Ovis aries: one gene and its partner. The protein of the gene in region 2 binds, or shares a complex with, the protein of the main gene of each other region. Links are inferred from orthologs where the notes say so. Each region holds a gene or a part of one and is shown on either strand. Other genes may lie near its edges.

Region 1 (9,895 bases), on a different chromosome or scaffold from region 2:
TAGAGGATCCTGACCCCAGCAACACTGAAATCATCATACGGGGTGCGGCTCTCAACTCACCCAGACCAGCAAGGGGTGCAACCAGGCTGGCAGGAGGCCTCCTGCTGCCAAGTGAGTGAAGAACAACAGTTTCCCGCCCCAATAAGACCCTCCACCGAGTGGTCACCTTCACTCCACAGATAAAGTCCAACACTGTTTGAAAACTTTGGGCAGGGAGCACACAGATTGAGCATCACCGCTCCCCTAGCATATTTATCACCCCACAACTCTGACCCCAGCTTTTCTTTCAAGCCTGTTTCCCACTCCTCTCTTCTCGAAGCACCCCTCCTTCAGGTGTCCACCATTTCCCCCAGCAGCTGGTAAGAAGTCTGAAATAGGGCTCCTTTCTGCAGCCTCTTGTTTCCCTGGGCAGGACCTGCCATGAGAGCAACAGTAACACGCCTGCCCTCTGTGTCCTCCCACTTAAGTCTCGCCAGAACAGAGGAGGAGTTCATCTGACAGGGAAGCCTGGCAGGGAAAGCCAGCAGCTGTGGCCCAGCCTCTTCAAGAGCCCTTGCTTCCTCAAAGCCACCTGTCCTCAGGGGGCTGCTTTTGGATCTGTTCTGCACGAGGCCCACGCCCTCGCAGACACGGCCTCTGACCCCTGCAATGCCTGTGGCTCATGGGTGGACATGTGAGCACCGCACATTTTGACCTGACCTGACTTGGCTACTGGCTGGCTCCCAAATCATGTTGTTCTTCAACAAGTTCCCAACTTGGGAGAGAAAGGAAGGGTTGCTAATTTCAACCCCCTACACCCCCGACCACTGCTCTGTGCTTCCACATTCCTAGTGCAGCCTCAACGTGGAGGGCTCTCTCACTCCCCTGGGCTGGCCCCAGTCTACTCAAGAACCACCTTAAGCCCAGCGGGAGCTGTGGCGGCACCCCAACTACCCAGCCCACAAGGGTCTAGGTCTGATCTTATTGCGTTCATTTTCGTTTCCCCACCTGACGGGCGGTCATCACACTCTGTACACTCACGGTTACTCTCTGCTGTTTATGTCCTATTCCCCCAACAATCTCCCCGAGAACAGGGGTCTAGCACAGCGCCTGGCACATGGGGATGGCGCCGCCTTTGTTCAGCCTGTGAGAAAGGGATGGGTCTGCTGCCAGGCCGGGCCATTATCAACAGCTCGGAGGCTCCCTGTGGCCTGACCAAAGGACACGATGGTGAGGGGGCTCATACTCACGCAATCTGAAGGGCTCGGGTGCCCAGCACGCGGGCTCGCTCATACTTGGTCATATATGGTGTGGTGATTCGTTTCTGGTTGGCCTGCGGTCGCTCTCCAGAAGGGAGAATCTCAACGTTCTCCTGGCCCTCCTGGACACAAAGGCAGAAAAGAGGGGAAAATCTCAGGCTGTATCACTGGGGGTGAGGGGCAGGACAACGACAACAGTGACTGTGAGCGCCTCCACGCTGCATGCCAGTGACCACACAACTGCCTTATTAACACCTCACCTAATCCTCACAAAAACCTTATCAAGTGGGGATTACAATGCTCATTTTAAAGGGCTGGACAGTTAGCCAACGTGGCCAAAGTCTCAGAGCTAGTGAAAGAGGAATCGTGATCAGGAGTCCAAAGCCAGCCGCCTCATCCAGCAGAGAGAGTTGGTCCCATACAAAGAAGTCCTTGAGCACAGACAACCTCACCCAAACCAAGAAGAGGAAGAAGCACCCCATCTTTACACATGTATATATTTAACAACCACTTATTAAGCATCTGTCATGTGCCAGACATGATAAAGGTGCTGAGACGGAGTCTCTGCTCGCCAAGAATTCACAGTCCAGCGAAAAGGCAAGAGTAAACAAAACATCAAGTGCTATGAAAGCGTGGCAGTGTGCCACAAACTACACAAGAAAGCGAGGGGCATCTACCTCATCCTGGGGGTTAGGAATACAGTCCAGAGATGAGACTTGGGCTAGTCTCCAAGGATGAGTACGAGCTGCCAAGCTAACAAGGAAAGAAAGAAAGGGCATTCCAGACAGGCTGAACTGCATATGTGCAAAGACACACGAGGGAAGAGAGTGTACTCAGCCTGGATGCCTAATCATGGGGTATGATAAGCCCAAAAGGTGCAAACAGGGTAGACAGGAGAATAAATTCTGTAATACAAAATTAAGCCAACAAATATTTACTGAGTGCTTACTCTTTGTCAGATAGCATTCTAAGTGCTTGACACAGAGCAGTAAGACAGATGAAAGTTCTTTCTCCCATACAGCTTTACATTATAATACAGTGAAAGTGAAAGTCACTCAGTCCTGTACGACTCCTTGTGACCCCACAGACTATACAGTTCGTGGAATTCTCCAGGCCAGAATACTGGAGTGGGCAGCCATTCCGTTCTCCAGGGGATCTTCCCAACCCAGGGATCAAACCCAGGCAGGTCTCCTGCATTGCAGGTGGATTCTTTACCAGCTGAGCCACCAGGGAAGCCCAAGAACACTGGAGTGGGTAGCCTATCCCTTCTCCAGTGGATCTTCCAACCCAGGAATACAGTGAGATGAACAATAATAAAATAAGTAGTAAAATGTGCAGTATAAAAACAGAGAGAAAAGACAGGGAGTGTCCGAGTGGTGATGTTGGAGGAAGGAGCAAATGCAGTGATTTGAAACAGAATGGTCAGGGAAGGCCTCATTGAGGTGACATGTAACACAGACCTGAAGGAGGCTGAGGAGCAGGTTGTGTGCATAACTAAGGGAAAAGGAAGAGGGAACAGCACGGTCAAAGGTCCTGAGCTGGAACTTCCCTGGCATGACAGCGATACCAAGAAGAGATAAGACCACAGAGGGAGCAGGCGGTCGGATCACGGAGGACCTTGTGCATGTTCTTGGCTTTTATTCGGAATGAGATGAGAAGTGACCAGACGCAGGTTCTGAGCAGAGGAGAGACAGAGTGACTGAAGATTTAAAAGGATCACTCTTGGATACTCTGTTAAGAACGTTCTGTAGAGGCTAAGGGCTGAAGCAGAGAGAACACTGAGCAAGACCAATAGTAACCAATCATGTGGGTAGGAGAAAAAGTCGACTCTGGCAGCAGAAAGGCAAACAGCAGACTCAAGGCAGGAAAACCGGTAACAAGTTTCTGCAGTAATGCGGATGAAAACCAATAAAGATCTAAACCAGGCTGAGGCACTAGGAATAGAGAAACGGGAACAGGACTGAACTACATGGAGGAGGCAGAATCAAGAGGAGAGAGATGGAAAGGCATCAGAAGAACCGAGAAGAAGGCTTCTGACTCAGTGAACAGATAACCTCAGAGTGTTAGGCAGACAGGAAAACCCACACAAAAGAGGGCCTTCACATTACCAATCTAAAAAAAAATCAAAGGATTCCTCTCTCCAGAAGACATAAAGCACTTCTTCCTCCACCAGTCACACAGCACAGAAGACCCTATTTTATCTATGACGCCAGTAACTCATCCACCAAGCTGCTCAAGCCAGAGACATGGGAGTCATTCCTGCCATCTCCCACTTTCTCAGCCCCACATCCAATCCACCAAAATCTCTCATCTGTTTTCTCATCACAAACACTACCAGCACCCAAGTGCAAGCTACAGATGTCACCTGGATTGCACTCTAATTGGGCTCTCTTTGACTCTTGGTTCACCCAACTCATTCCTCACTGGATCATGCCACTCCCCAGATCCCCAAAACTTATCAGCAGCTTCCCGCTACCCCTAGGCTACAAAATCTTGGCTGATCTTGGCCCTCACCTCTCCAGCCTTATCCCAGGTCACTCTCCCCCTTGCTCTTTATTCAGCCCCACCCTGCTGAGCTCCTGGTACATAATAAACATTCACCACATGTCTGCACAATGAATGAAGGGGCTATTTCAACTGAGTAAACTAACTGCCCCAGAAGTCATGCTCTGTGGTCCAAGAGACAAAAGCCTTTGGGCCAACCCTGTAGGACTCCTCCACTACCCAGGGCTAGATCTCCCCTTTCTAAGTGGCAGTACCCTGACCACAAACGGGAGGCAGAGGCATGCAGTCGGCCATCACTGGCCGGGCTATCTGGCAGCTTGGGCTGCAGAGAGGGGAGCCCAAGGCTCAGTACTGACCTCCTCGGCATTCTCCAAGTCATCGAGCCCTTCATCCTCCTCCACGTCATCAAAGTCGTCTCCATCAAAACTGAACAAGTGTAAGAAGCCCGTTAGTTAGAGCATCACTTATTAGAATCAAAGTGGGCAGAAATCTGAGTCTCATGTGATACGTAGGAGGCTCTCAATAAATATCCACCTAACCAGTGAATCATTCAATAAACCAGTCATCTGACGTCCTCATCTTAACTATGGGCCTCTTCTAGAAAGAGACCCCAGCTGAATCAACATTTGGTACAGACAGACATAGAGCCCGACTCAGTGGAAGTTTGCTGAAAGATACTTTTTCACTGATCCTCTCTGGACCCTCGAGTCGGAGCCTTTTCCGCGCCCAGCCTCTGACCGGGTCTATGCTCCTAGTTCCCAGCCTTTCCCTTCTCCGGCTCTGCGGACGCCCTCACCACCCCCAGTCCTAAACCTCTGGCTCAACTTCCTTCGACCCTGGCTCCTGCTTCATCCGCCCCTTCTGAGTCTTCGGAAAAGTCGTTTCGCTCCCTCACTCACTTGTCCTCGTTGTCTGACATGACGCCCGCGCAGCAGCCACCGGGTTCCGAGACCCAAACCCGCGCGGAGACCGGCGAACAGCGTACCTCCGCCTCGCGCGATGCCAAGAGTACTCGGCGCCTGCGCTGTGACCTAGCGGTAATCACTTCCGGGAGGCAGGCGGGGCGAGAAATAGGCACATGCGCGGAGCAGTTTGTCTGCGTTACCATGGTAGCCGGAGCCGCGCTTGCTGCAAGCTCTAGTGGCTGAGATCTCAAAAGTATTTCTGGGAGGGACCAGGCGCGGCTGCTGCTTCAGAGCCTTGGTTACGATCTCCGGAGCCCAGCCGCCGCTCTCTGTGAGGAGAGAGGCCACCCAGCCGGGGTCTTACTTTAGGGTGAGGTTTCCCGTTTGGGCGTATCACACAACGGGCACGGCTACCCTCACTCCCCTTTCCTCCCGAGGGGGCTTCCCTGCCACAGGCGCCAGGTCAGGATGAGGTCTCTGTTCGCGTGTATATATCTGCCAGTGGATCTGTTCGAGGTGGGAGGATCGGGCACTGTCGCGATGTTGACAGGCGGCATCACGATCTCTTGAGACCCTACACCCGCTCCCAAACTTTGGGTGGTGTTGAGGGTGTGAGAAGAGATTGGATCTGGGAGACCGGGAATGTTTCATTGGGTTTTTCCCTCTTCAGAGCCCTCCCATGGCTTCCCAGGAGAGGGTGGAGACGGTGACCAAAGGAACAGGGTTCTGGCGCTGTCCCAAGCCGACCACTTACACCCCAGGGACCTGCGAGCTGCTCAGAGGTCAGTGCATTAAAGGGCACAAGAAGAGCGGTGGTTACAGTTACCCTCTGTTTCTCAGTTCTCCCCTACATGACTTATGGCTTAGTAATTGTATTTTCAGTTTACAGATAAGAAGCCTGGAGTTCAGAAAGGTTCAGGCGTCCAGCTCCTACAACTTGGAAGTGACCCAAAGTCAAAGAACTAAGAATTTCAGAGTGGTTAACTCCCATGAACCCCTTAGATCACACTTTCAGTTTCCCCAGGGAAGACTTATTTGCTCTCCACCCATCATCACCACAGTGGAACCAACTGTTATGCATCTGCACACTGATGCTACTGCTACCGCTAAGTTGCGTCAGTCGTGTCCAACTCTGTGCAACCCCATAGACAGCAGCCCAACAGGCTCCTCTGTCCCTGGGATTCTCCAGGCAAGAACACTAGAGTGGGTTGCCATTTCCTTCTCCAGTGCATGAAAGTGGAAAGTGAAAGTGAAGTCGCTCAGTCGTGTCCAACTTTTAGGGACCCCATGGGCAGCAGCAGCCCAACAGGCTCCTCTGCCCATGGGATTCTCCAGGCAAGAGTACTGGAGTGGGTTGCCATTGCCTTCTCCTAATAGTCTGCACACTACCAAATACCTTTTCCTTCACTGGGCTTAGTGCAACCTGTACTCAGATACCTAGTGTGTTCCACTGAATTAACATTGAATTAACATTCAGTTCATGAACGCCATCAGGGCATGATGCCTGTTTTGGCTCACATTTGTAGCTCCAGCCCCTGGCACGTGCTCAATGAATACTTGTTCATTCACTGTTTCATTCACTCAACAAAAATAGTTTTAAAGCCCACTGTGTGCTTTAGACATTATCCCGGGTGCTGAAAACACAGCGGTAAAGAAAAGAAATAAGCAAAAATTATTGTTCCCTTGGAGCTAATATTCTAGGAGGAAAGTAACAAATAATAAATAAGGTATATAGAACTTAGATGGTGATGAGTGGTATAGGGGGAAAAATGTAGAAAAGGAAGGGAATTCCCATGTGGTCCAGTGGTTAGGGCTCAGTATTTTCAGTGCTGGGAGGCCCAGGTTCAATCCCTGTTCAAGGAACTCAAATCCCACAAGCCAAGTACGCAGGCACCCAGAATGGGAGCAGGAGGCGATACAGTATTAAGTTTCAGTGGGGTGAGATGAGGCGTCTGCTTGCAGCCCAGGAAGCCTCACCAAGGTGCTTTGTTTTGCAGTGATGATGAAGGAATCCAAACTGACTAACTTCCAACAGCGCCACATCATGGACACCATGAAACGTAAGAGGCTGACCACAGAGGCTTCCCGGGGAGAGGAATTCTGGGTCACATTTTAATGCTCTCTCCATGTTGAGGAGCAGGGGACCTAATTTTAAACACACACACACACACACACACACACACACAAACAAAATTTGAATAGTATTTCTGACCCTTGCTCTTGGGGAATTGACCTTGCAGGGTCTTGGTCTTTGCTTCTTCACAAGACATGGGTCCCAGTCCATGAGCCTCTCCCACAGTCCAGCTCTAGCCGGCCTTCCTAACAGGGCATCAGCCCATTCGGGACTTCCTGCCCAGTCAGACAGTCTGAACGCTGTCAAGTCCGCAATCTCTCCCACCCTCTTACACACATAACATATGAGCTCTCCAGACGAGAGGCCTGTGTGTGTCTTATGCATAGTTTTATTCATTCTAGCTTAGCTGGCAGAAACACGATTACTGGCAGGCTTCCAACTTAGGAAAACTATGCAAAACTTTTCCATCTTTCACCTCTGACCACACACTGTATTATTTATTTTTAAGGAAAAAAAAAAAAAACTGAAGGTAACAAGGTGCCCTCTAAGATCTTGAGAACAACCTTGCTTTCTGAGATTTAACTGAATCAGCTTTTAGGGGATCAGAACAGAGATCTGTAAAGTTACCTTTAAGAGGATACCAGAAGGTTCAAGCCTGCCAGGTTTCACGCAAATCTACCAATAGCTATTGCCTTCTTTCAAGAAAGAAGGTGCCTATCAGGAGACATCTGGTCAACCACAGAAACTGGAATGGGAGAGTCAGAGAGACAAATACTGACTGCCCAGTGCTGGCTGGGGGAGGGAGGCTCCATCAGGTCAGTTCAGAAGTCAGATCTCCTTCCTTTTTGTGGACAAGGACAACTCAGGCTGCCAGAGCCTAACACCACAACACAGCTGAGTCACATAACTCAATTTCCAAACTCAAGTCATCTACTAATCATCTGATGTCCCTTACAGATCCCCTGGAGAAGGGAATGGCAACCCACTCCAGTATTCTTGCCTGGAGAATCCCATGGACAGAGGAGCTTGGCAGACTATAGTCCATGGGTCGCATAGAGTCAGACATGACTGAGCAACTAACCCTTCCTTCCTTCCTTACAACATGACCATAAAGAGAATGTGCTAGAAATTCCATTAAAAGTAAACACCAGGAGACCAAGGATTGAGCCTGCCTTGTTCACCATTGTACCTTGACTCCTAGTGAAAGTGAAGCTGCTCAGTCGTGTCCAACTCTTTGCAACCCCATGGACTGTAGCCTATCAGGCTCCTCCGTCCATGGAATTTTCCAGGTAAGAATACTGGAGTGGGTTGCCATTTCCTTCTTCAGCAGATCTTCCCGACCCAGGGATTGAACCTGGGTCTCCCACCTTGGTAGGCAGACACGTTACCATCTGAGCCACCAGGGAAGTCCTTGACTCCGAGGTGCTGAGTATTTATTGAAAAACTAATTGGATTAGTGATTAGGTCAACACAAGTCACAGTTTGCCAGTTTTTTTTTTTCTCCTTAGATGTTTTCTTTTTAAAATATTGCCTCCAAGCATTGGTGTTGAGTCTACTTTCTTCTCCCAGCTTCCCCTCTCTACTCTCTTCTTAATCAAGTCCTACTTCTTTGAGGCTTAAATTCTTTTGCAAGCCACAAATTCCTCTCCTTCACCTGAACTCCCAGAATTGCTTGGGCTCTAATTATTTGCTGAGACTGAGCCAAAGGAAAAGGTGGCATTTGGCACTGGACAAGTAGAAATAGCAGACATAGTAAGAGGAAGCATAGCATCTCTTCAAAGGAGACAGAAAAACTGTGGCTGGCCCTAGATAGAGGGCACGAGAAAGGAAAGGCAGCGGGAAACAATGGCTGCTCCATTCTTGTGGTTCTTCCAGGCAGACACATCAGAGTCATCCTGTCCCCTCTTCCCCTTTCTCCTAGACCCCACATCCAACCCACCAGCAGTCCTGTCTGCTTGACCTTCAAACCATATCCTAACTGTGACTACCTCTGCCCTTGACCCCCGTGCATGCGTGCTCAGTGGCTTCAATTGTGTCTGACTTTTTGTGACACCATGGACTATAGCCCGCCAGGCTCCTCTGTCCATGGGATTCTCCAGGCAAGAACACTGGAGTGGGTAGCCATGCTTTCCTCCAGGGGATCTTCCCGACTCAGGGATCGAACCCACATCATTTATGTCTCCTGAATTGGCAGGCAGGTTCTTTACCAGTAGCGCCACCTGGGAAGCTCTTGACCTTCAACACTGTATTTTCTATTTTTATGTTTTTTTAATTTTTTTCACTTGCGCATCTTGAGGGATCTTAGTTCCCAGCCCAGGTATCAAACCTGTGGTCCCTGCAGTGGAAGCAGGGACCACCAGGAAATTCCCAACAATGTATTTTCAATGGCAGCTAAAGGGGTGACTCCTCGGCTCAGAACCCTCGATGGCTTCCCACCTCACGCACAGTAAAAGCCAGTCCTTCCAGAGGCCTATGAGGCCCAGTCCATCTCTTGCCCTCCCTGACCTCTGACCTGTACTCCCACTCCACCCCACCCCTGGTTCAGTCCATTCCCAGCACCCTAGTCTGCTGTCTGTTCTCAGATGCTCTGGCACATTCCCCCCTCAGGCCCTTCACTTGAGCCACCCTGTCTAGAATGCTCTTCCCTAAAATATCACCTTGGCTGGCCTCTTACCGCTTATGGATCCTTTCTCAAATGCTATCGTGTCCGTGAGGCCTTCCCTGGCCACCCCACTTATAACCGTGAATCCCGCCCTGACACACCCTGTGGCCCATCCCTGTGTTGGCACTGGTGCTCTGCTGTCAACATCACTGCTGTTCTCTTCATCTAAACCCCAGATTAAGTACTGTGAGGGCAGGGCTTTGTCTGACCTCTTTACCCCCAGAGTCCCCGGCCTGGCTCAGAGTACATGCTCAATACTACCTGCTGGGTGATGACAGAGAAGGCTGGAAAGGTACGGGAGGTAGACAGGAGCCAAATCAAAACAGCGGTTGGGGGGCATTCCCTGACAGCCCAGTGGTCAGGACTCCGAGCTTTCACTGCCGAGGGCGCAGTTTCAATCCCTGGTCAGGGAGCTAAGATCCACGTGGCACGGCCGAAAATATAAAGATGTTATAGATAAATGGAGTGATCTGGAAAGATGTTCATGGTAGATTGTTAGTTCAGTTCAGTC
Region 2 (9,772 bases):
TTCACAGTATTTGCTGTTACCTGCTGCTAAATTTGTCTCCCAAAAGGGCTGCCTGTTTCTTTCAAAGAGAATCCGAATTTCAATACTCCTCCCTAGCGTGGAGATTCATCTACTTTAAAAGAGCAACAACAATGCCAGTTAGGGAAACTTCTCTGGCAGTCCAGTGGTTAAGAATCTGCCTTCCAATGCAGGGGAGGTGGGTTCAATCCCTAGGCAGGGAAGTAAGATCCCAGATGCCTTGCGGAAACTACTGAGCCACGGCTACTGAGCCCATGGGCCACAAAAGATCCCACATGTGTCAACGAAGACCCCGTGTGCTACAACTAAGACTCAAGGCAGCCAAACAGATATTTACAAAAGAAGGCCAGCTGGGAGATGCAGCAGGAAGGCTGGCATCAGGACTCTCCGGCAGCCAGTGCGGTAATAGGCAACTCTGGCCACAATCATCAAAGGATGCTACAACCACGGGGGGATGGAGTTCTAGGGAGAAGGATGGCCACACCACCGTAAGATGCCCCGCCTGGACGACTGATGACACAGCAGGCAGGGAAGTGAAGGCGCCTGGCGACACCACCGTGATTAGGACCCCCAGCTGACACCCCAGGGGTAGAGTAAGGAGATCTCGGGCCCCCGGCGGGATGCACGCCACAGACATGAGGCTGCCACAGATGCCTCCGCTGGTTATGCATCACTTGAACCCAATCCTGAGGAAACAGACAAACCCAAACGGACAACTTTCTGCCGAATAACCAGACCTTATCCTTACAGCCTGAGCAACTGTTTCAAATAAAAAGAGGTTAAAGAGGCTGATGTAATAAATCGTGCTGGATTGGGGAAAAAATGCCCATCACTGTGACAAGTGGCAAAATGTGAACATGGTAACTAAGTAATAGTATTACATCAATGGGCTTCCCCGATAGCTCAGCTAGTAAAGAATCTGCCTGCAATGCAAGAGACCCTGGTTTGATTCCTGGGCCAGAAAGATCTGCTGGAGAAGGGCTAGGCTACCCACTCCAGTATTACTGGGCTTCCCTGTGGCTGAGGTGGTGAAGAATGCACTCGCAATGCGGGAGTCCTGGGTTCGACCCCTGGGTTGGGAAGACCCCCTGGAGAAAGGCTACCTACTCCAGTATTCTGGCCTGGAGAGTTCCATGGACTGGATAGTGCATGGGGTCACTTGTTAAGTTTCCAGAATTTGATCCTTGTGCTGCAATTATGTAAGACAATGCCCTTGTTCTTAGAAAATATATGTTGAAATATTTAAGGGGTAATTAAGCCTTCAGATTGTTCAAAACAAATCAATGTGGATATTTATATATAAATATACATGGAGAGAAGAAGACAAAGTAAATGTGGCAAATGCTAACTGGAGAATCTGGGTGAAGAGTTTATGGGAGCTCTTTTATACTATTCTTCGAAAATTTACCAAAATGAAGACTAGAAATGACAAAAAGTGCCTACCCACATCGACAGTGGAAAGAGGGACCTTAGGCGGAAGGGAGTGGCAATATTACTCAGTGGTTCGGCTCAGGCTCTGAAACCAGACTGCCCCCTGGCAGTTTCAGCCTCTCTGGCCTCAGTCTTCCCATCTGTAAAGCAAAGGTAATGGTATCTGCCTTTCTTGAAGAATACTTGTGAGGACTCAGTGTGTTAATGTGTCTGAAGACCTTCAAATAACACTCGGTCTGTCACCCAGAACTCATGAATGTTAGCTGTCATTACTGGTATTGAATTGATTTCCTTTTTTTTTTAGTTGCAGCATGCGAAATCTTAATTATAGCCTGCGGGATCTAGCTTCCCAACCAGGGATCAAATCCGGGCAACGGAGATCAGAGTCTTAGTCACTGGACTACAAGGGAAGTCCCTATTTTCTGTATTCTTGATGCTCTGGCATTTGGGGATTTAATTCTGGAGAAACCATCCCTCCCAGGACTAGCTAATTCCTAGACATAGCAAACAACTTCTCTGCAAGCTCACTCTTTCATATAAAAACCGATCAATCCAGAGCTCACACCCCAACCACAGAACTCTGACAAGCCAACATTCCCCATGCCCTAAATCAACCCTGAGGCCAGGTACTAGGCAGCTAGGAAACACCCCATAACCCCTAAATTTATCCAGTGTCTTGCTTTTATCAATCCTAATCTCACTCTGCATAGGTACCCTGCTCCAACCATTCTTTCCCAAGAAAACCCAGTTAACGCCCGGGGCTGTGCCTGGCCCCTCCTCGCCACCCCATCCTTTCCTGCACAGCCCTCCATGGCCATCTGTGCCTGTTTCTAGGATCCATACTTACCCCTTTGTGACAAGCACTCTGACATCTGCTGTCTTAACATACCTGATTAAAATAAATCCCAGGTAGATTTTTTTAAAAATACATTATCTCATTTTGAGTTACTCAGTTTGAGGTTCTCCTAGGAAGTTTTACAAATGCTCCCAAAAGTTCTTAGAAGCAGGGAATGTGCTGGCTGAAAGTTGGGAATCTGAATCTAGGAGGGACCTGGTGTATTGATCTTGGTGGTTCCAGGAGGAGGACTGTAACCACTACACCTGTATACAGTGTTGCCATCATTAAGCTGTATCTGATAACCTCTCTGAGTTGGGGTGGGCGGGCCCTCACTTAGGCACCTCCTCTCCAATGCTGGCATGGCAACTGTAATTGTATATAACTGACCTTCAAAAAGGCCTGCTGAAAGGCTGGTAGCTTGAGGCAGGTCCTTTAACCAACCCGAGCTTCAGATTTGGCCCCCCATCACCTGCTAGTTAGAAATCTGGGGTACCTGGTGCCCCTGGCACCATGCTGCTCACAGCAGGCCTACCTCGGGCCCCAGGCTCAGGCCCAACTCAGTCTTCCTGGCTTCATTTGAGAACAGCCCAGGGCATGCTGCCATCCCAGCCCCCTGGGCCTCACCTGCTGTTTGGCTTTCTCGAAATATCAGGGAGACACCCAGATTGGCCGCGTACTGAGTAAGCGAGGCCACGGCCTGGCCCGGCGGCGGGTCTTTGAGCTGCAGGCCCAGATGTCTGGTCACCTTCGGGAAGTCGCCCGCGGGCCCTGCGGGTGGTACAACGACCCTCAGGGACCTCCTCATCCTTCCCGTGCCCAGCACCCCCCAGCTCCCTGATCCCTGCCCCCACCCAGGCCTCACCATCCCCAGCTGCTGCCGAGGCCTGGAGCTGCCCGCCCGCTTCATTGTTCTCTGCGTTGGGGGTGGGAGCAGGCTCTTGGCCCAGACTGGCCGAGGGCCTCCAGGAGCTGGACCCTGGGCTGATCTGCAGTGATGCTGCCAGACGGGGCTTCCTGCGGCCACTGTCGTCGGTGCCCAGAGCTGTGCTGGCCTGTGAAGCCATGGCTGGACTCGAGGGCGGGAGGGAACAGCAGGCACGTTCTGGCGCCACCTGCGCCTTTTTACACGCCAGAGCGAGCGCCCACGTGGGGAGCACGTGGTACAACCGTCCGCGCATGGTGAGCTCCGCCTCCCGCCTCACTCGTAGCCAATGAGAGCCCATAAAACTGTAGCAGGACAGTATGCCCAGCCAATGGGAAGGCTAGTCTCCCAGGCAGCTTGAGCCTGGATGTGGACTAAGTGGCCACCTGGCCAACCTCCTTATTTCAAGGGCGGGGCTCCGGGTGTAAGGTGAGGGTGGAGGACAAGACCGTCCTATCATCTTCTTCTCTGCGCTTGTTTGTGTGGTATTCGGGAAACAAAGACCAGGGGAGGAGTCTGGGGACCCAAGTTCAGCACCTCACCCCTGCTGCCGTCCAAGGATGCCCTGCACTCCCCATTTTGCCAGCCTGCCCTCCCCAGCTGCTTAAGCAGCTGAGCCTAGAGGAGGATGGGAGGTGCTCATTCTGTAAGTGATGGTGTTTTCATTTGTAGCAGCCTCACAGAGTCTTTAGGGCCTACATTTAAAATCTGTTCACCTTAAGCCTTCCTGAAGCCAACTGTAAGTGTTCCACGTGGGCTCTAGCTAAAATTAGTCATTTGATATCCTGCCCTCCCCACCCCACCCCCGCTTTTTTTTTTTTTTTTCCTCAGAAGTGAATCTGTGTTGGTTCGTAAAAACATGTCAAGATAGCAATTCTTAAAAATGAGGGTCTAGCGATGAAGGAGAAATAACAAAAATAAAGTTGAGGATGAAGACAATTTACATGTGGCTTGCTATCATGCAGCACGGTTGCTTGAAGGAGATGAAAATTTTAACAGTCTTGAGGAGCCAGTGACCGGGAAAATGTGACCAGTTACTGAGTTTATGGTCTGTAAGTTGTGTTGCTGTTGCTGCTGCTGCTGCTGCTTGCTACCTTCGGATCTGACAACACGAGCCAGGACGGGGGCAATGTGGACGCTAAGGCGTAGAGAAACAGTTGGTAGCACCTGTTAACATTTGACTTGGAAGAGCAGATATGGAGCAAGGTAGATTCAGTCTCCCAAACGGTTCAAGGATTGACCTCAAGAAAGACAATTCTGAGGACTTCCCTGGTGGCTCACGGTAAAGAATCTGCCTGCAATGCAGGAGTTGGAAAAGACGCAGGTACGATCCCTGGGTCAGGAAGATCCCCTGGAGGAGAGCATGGCAACCCACTCCAGTAGTCTCGCCTGGAGAATCCCATGGACAGAGGAGCCTGGCGGGCTTCAGTCCATGGGGTCGCAAAGAATCGGACACGGCTGAGCGACTTCACTTTCACTTTCACTTTTACTTAATTTCCAGTGCCCACGGCGCCATCTGCACTCGCATTCTCCCTCCGCCCGGGAGGTGGCGCTCTGGAGCGCCCCTTAGGCCGGGCTGGGAGGCGGGACTTCCTGCCTTCCATGAAGCATTTCCGGCCCAGCCGGGGGAGGCGGTTCATCGCTTCTGTGGAGCTGTCGGGTTGCGGGCTCAAGAGCTAGGGTTCTGCCTTGGGGCTCCCTCGTGGCACGAGGGTCAAGCGAGCGTCACGCGGAGGTCGGTTTCCCCGACGAGCACGGCGCGACGGGATTACGTAAGTGCGCGCGCCGCCCCGACGGGACGGAGGGGCGGGTCCCCGTGCTCGCATCCACAGGCTCCAAACTGTGTGGCTTTGGGACGAGTCGCCCAACCTTTGCAGAGTTGGTGGTGAGCAGCCGCTGGCTCATGGAACGGGGAGCATCACGCCGTTGTAAAGCGTCGTAGCAACAACTGTCTGGCATACAGCGCTTGGTGCGAGATGCCTGCTGTTCTTGGGTTGAAATTCTGGGGCCTCGACGTGGAGAGGGAGGAGACGGATGGGGAGGACGTGGGCGAGTAGAGGTCTAAAGGGAAGGGCCTCCCGGATCCCCTCTCCCATCCCCGGGCAGGCGCACCTATTGCCGCACCCGGCGTTCGTGCAGACCCGACGAAACTCCGGAGGTCTAAATTCGAGTCCGGGAGAGATGAGGGCGGGAAATCGAGGCTGTCTTGTCTCGGGGGTTCTCTGAGGTCGTGGGCTCCACCAGCTCCCTCAGCCTCCCTGCGTTTGTTTGAGACTGTCAAGTTCCTCATTCTTGGATTTGTGCCTTCAGCTTTTACGTACTGATTTCAGTTCATTTCAGTTGCTCAGTCGTGTCCGACTCTTTGCGAGCCCATGGACTGCATGCAGTGCTCCAGGCTTTCCTATCCATCACGTAGTAAATAAGGCAGGCACCGGGGATAAAGTCCCTTCCCCATGCGGACTCTCAGAGCAGTTTGGAATCACATAGCTTTAGCTTTAAATATCTTATCACACATCGCAATGCGTGCTCCAGAGGAGGGATGCAGGGTGATGTGGGACAGGGCTGGGAGAACCAGGAGAGGCTTCCTGACTCAAAATCTGAAGGATGGGGGCAGATTTTTTAGGTGGGTAGGAAGGACAATGGTGTTCATTTTTAGTGGAGAGAGAGTGTGAAAAGGTCCTCTGGTGAAAAGACGCATTCCCACCACTGTCCTCTCCTGTGATGAAGGAGAAAGACAACAACAATCAGATGCCAGGAGGTCAGAAATGAATCTGATACAGTTCCTGTCCCAGAGAGCAGTCCCGAGGAAGAGATAAAGCATATAAGCCACAATTAGAATGAGGCTGACTCGTGCCCTGAGAAACACATTCTTTTGACAAGTTTTTTTATTATTTATTTATTTACATGACTGCACTGGGTCTTAGTTGTGGCACTCAGAATCTTTAGTTGTGGCATTCGAACTCTTAGTTGCAGCATATGGGATCTAGTTCTGCGACCAGGAGTCGAACCTGGGCCCTCTGCATTGGGAGTGAGGTGTCTTAGACACTGGACCACAGGGGAAGTTCCTCGTTTGAAAAGTGAAAGTGCTAGTCACTTAGTTGTGTCCGACTCTTTGTGACCCCATGGACTGTAACCTTCCAGGCTCCTCTGTCCATGGAATTCTCCAGGCAAGAATACCGCAGAGGGTTGCCATTCCCTTCTCCAGGGGATCTTCCCTACCCAAGAATCAAACCTCAATCTTCTGCATTGCAGGGAGATTCTTTACCATCTACCAACATTTACTGTGTGGTGAGCACTTTGCAAGGTGCTCAGAGTACCTGGAGGTATAGAGGTTACAAAATAAATGGATACATGCAGTGGTAGCTCTAAGAGGAAAGGTTTTGCATCATCAGGCTCTGAGGCTGGTGCTCGCTTCTGGATGCAGAGAGAGTTGTGGTTTAGAACTGGGGTTTTGGAGCCGCTGGAGGATCACGCTATTGGCCTTGGGCAAGTTGCTCTTTCCCAGCCTGTTTCCTGACCTCCATATGAGGGGCAGGAGAATAAAACTTGTAGTACCATGTCAGGCAGATGCTGGCACTCAGTAAGTGAGAACTGCTCTTATTTTTGCGTGTATTAAAGGATATTCCAGCTGCTTATTCTTGTTGAGCACTTTGTATTTTGTTGTTGTTCACACTCTTTGTGACCCCCACAGACTGCAGCACACCAGACTTCCCCGTCTGTCACTATTTCTTGGAGTTTGCTCAAGTTCACGTCCACTGAGTCAGTGATGCTATCTAACCATCTCATTCTCTGCCACCCTCTTCTCCTTCTGCCTTCAATCTTTCCCAGTTTTAGTCTTTTCCAATGAGGCGGCTCTTCGCATCAGATGGCCAAAGTATTGGAGCTTAAGCTTCAGTCCTTCCAGTGAATATTCAGGGTTGATTTCCTTTAGGATTGACTGGCTGATCTACCTGCAGTCCAAGGGACTCTGAAGAATCTTCTCCCACACCACAGTTTGAAAGCATCAGTTCTTCAGTGCTCAGGCTTCTTTTTGGTCCAACTCTCACATCCATATATGACTACTGAAAAGAAACAAATTTTGACTATATGGACCTTTGTTGGCAAAGTGTCTCTGCTTTTTAATACACTGTCTAGGTTTGTCATGGTGTCCCTTTCCAAGGAGCAGAGATCTTTGAATTTCATGGCTGCAGTCACCAAAGCCCTTTGACATAAACATTATTATTCAACACACAGTTGGTTCCTTTTTGTTGGAAGGTACTGTACTTGACAGTGGGAAGGCAGACAAATAATAACTCATCTCTGGCTTTGGGGAACTTGAGTTTGTCTTTAGAGTGTAACCTAGAGTGTGGGGCTTGTCGTCTAGGTAGGACTGTGTAATTATAATGTAATACGTGAGAGCGTGATGGAAGCTGATCACCACCAGCCACCTTCTAACTTCAGCCCCCATCACTCACCACCTAGTTTTTCCCATGGCTACCCAGTTGCTTCTCACATACTCCTGCCCCAGGACTCTTGTTCTTGCTGTTCATTCTTCCCAGTACCCTCTCTCCCGTAGTTGGCATGTTTGTCTCTCTCATTAGGCTCTGTGTGTGCCGAACATCACCTTCATGAAGCTACGATGCTAAAAAGCACACCCTCAGGCCCTGCCATCCCTTCCCTCCTGGCGGGTTGCTTGGTTTTGGAATAGCACCTACTATTCTCGGGCGTTCGGTAACATATTCGTTTGTTCTTCGTTATCTGCTTCCCCAAAGAGATTATCCTCCCATTAAGACACTCTTCACTCTCCCAGGAGCCCCGGAAGCCGCTGTCCGGTTCAGGTCTCTGAGGAAGGCCAGGGTGACGGTGGCTACTGTTTTTCAAGATGGACTTCCCCAGCTCCCTCCCACCCTCGTTGTTCATGACTGGCCCCCTTGGTCAGAGCGATGTCCCTGACCTGTCGTTCATGTGCAGCTGGAGAGACGCGCTGACCCTGCCGGCGTTCTCACCCCAAGGCTCTCAGGTGAGGATGGCAGGGAGAGCCTTGGTGGCTTGGGGGAGGGCCCGTTTGCACCCCCCTCCCCCACCCTAGAGGTCACACCAGTTGGCAGGAGTGCAGGGTGGGGGGCTTTGGTACAAATCTACTAAGACCCAGGCTCAACCAGAATCCCATCCTTTGGGGACCTGGGGCGCCCTACCATCCACAGAAGATTCAGCCTCCTTCCTGGCTCCCTCTCCCCCTGCCTTCTCCTTCCTCTGTTTGTTCAACGAATACTCACTGAATAGCTCTACTGTGTGCCAGGTGCCTTATCAGGCTCTGGGGATCCAGAGTGAGTAAGTCAGATGCGCTTCCTGCCCCTGGGGAACAGGTAGGTGGAATAGGGACTAACAAGTGAATAGGGCAGAAGATAAAATCATTTCAAAGTGTGGACAGCTCTGAGCGAAACCAAAAGGATGCTGGAGCCGCACAGGGCAATGTGAGGGGGGCGGGGAGACCTCCTGGGAGAAGAAGGACACCTGCTCTTACCCTGGACGCCTAAGCCATCAGCTGCCACTTGGAGACAGGCTGGCTAAGGGTTACGCCAGGCAGAGGCACGTGGGTGAGAAATTTAAGAGAGGCACTGGAAGGGCGGCGGGGGTGGGGGTGAGGTTTGCAGGACTCACTTGACAAGAAGGGCTTCCATCAGGAGCCTCACCTGCTCCTTTTCCATCCCGAGTGTGGAGCTGAGTTGTCTGAGGCCAGCCCTGCAGGGGAGTAGGGGAGCCTGGGGGTGACTGTACGGTCTCCCGAGTGTACGTGATGCACGGGTGAGACCCAGGCCGGCTAGTGAAGGCCGGGCGGTCCTCTGGAGCAGCGCAGCCTGGATGTGGGCAGCACAGGCCAGAGTCAGGCTGCCTGGGCTCAGGCCCCGGCCCTTCTCTTTTCTGGCTGCTGCCTGGGGCCAGGGACGGCCCCCTGTTCCTCCCGTTCTCTTCATCATTAAAGTGACAGTGAGCGACCGGCTTGGCAGGCGCCTGCTAAGGACTGAAGGAGTTGAGAAGAGACAAAAGCTGATGACAGGGCCTGGCCGGGGCGCTCGCTCACTGTTGCACTTTGGCCGTGGTGGTGTTTCCTCAGGATAGCGCGCCGCATGTGGCCAAGGCCCTGCTCTGGGAGCCTGACACGCCTGGGCCCCTGCCCTTGCTGCCTCCTGGTCCTGGTAAGGAGCTCGGGCTGGGGGCCCCGAGCTGTTCCCACTCACGGCTTCTTCCCCAGCCCCCACCCTGAGGCCTCTCCCCCAACTCCGTGCCCCCTGCTGATTGCTTCCACCCAGCAGGGTCCTTGGCATCTCTAGGCACTGGGACACCTGGTTCCACTTCAGTCCCTTCCCAGCCTCCCTCTTCCCTCAGATCCCTGGGACCCCGGCCTGACTGCCAAAGATCTGCTTTTCCGGGGAGGCTACCAGTTCCGGAGACATCCCCGAGTCGTGCTGGATGTTACTGAGCAGGTGCGCGGGCCCACCCGGTGGACAGTGCCGTGGGCCCGGGGCTGTGCCTCCTGACCCGGCCTCTTTTCCTCCCGCAGATCAGCCGGTTCTTGTGGAACC

Evidence for each region.
Region 1: TAF1C (region 2) and POLR2F share a complex: the UniProt entries of both Homo sapiens proteins name them as parts of the pol I pre-initiation complex. The link is inferred for Ovis aries from reciprocal best matches to the Homo sapiens genes TAF1C and POLR2F.

The regions. Positions count from the first base shown.
Region 1 is NC_056056.1:215,571,980-215,581,874, reverse strand, and holds the start of POLR2F (DNA-directed RNA polymerases I, II, and III subunit RPABC2), read right to left. Parts: upstream 4,758-9,895; 5' UTR 4,663-4,757; coding exon 4,643-4,662; intron 4,170-4,642; coding exon 4,100-4,169; intron 1,361-4,099; coding exon 1,230-1,360; intron 1-1,229. Other genes in the region: C3H22orf23 (UPF0193 protein EVG1), read left to right, coding at 5,328-5,430, 6,646-6,708. UniProt on the Homo sapiens protein: DNA-dependent RNA polymerase catalyzes the transcription of DNA into RNA using the four ribonucleoside triphosphates as substrates.
Region 2 is NC_056067.1:10,017,484-10,027,255, reverse strand, and holds the start of TAF1C (TATA box-binding protein-associated factor RNA polymerase I subunit C), read left to right. Parts: upstream 1-4,815; 5' UTR 4,816-4,981; intron 4,982-7,998; 5' UTR 7,999-8,070; coding exon 8,071-8,208; intron 8,209-9,303; coding exon 9,304-9,385; intron 9,386-9,575; coding exon 9,576-9,673; intron 9,674-9,750; coding exon 9,751-9,772. Other genes in the region: ADAD2 (adenosine deaminase domain-containing protein 2), read right to left, coding at 2,912-3,055, 3,150-3,465. UniProt on the Homo sapiens protein: Component of the transcription factor SL1/TIF-IB complex, which is involved in the assembly of the PIC (pre-initiation complex) during RNA polymerase I-dependent transcription.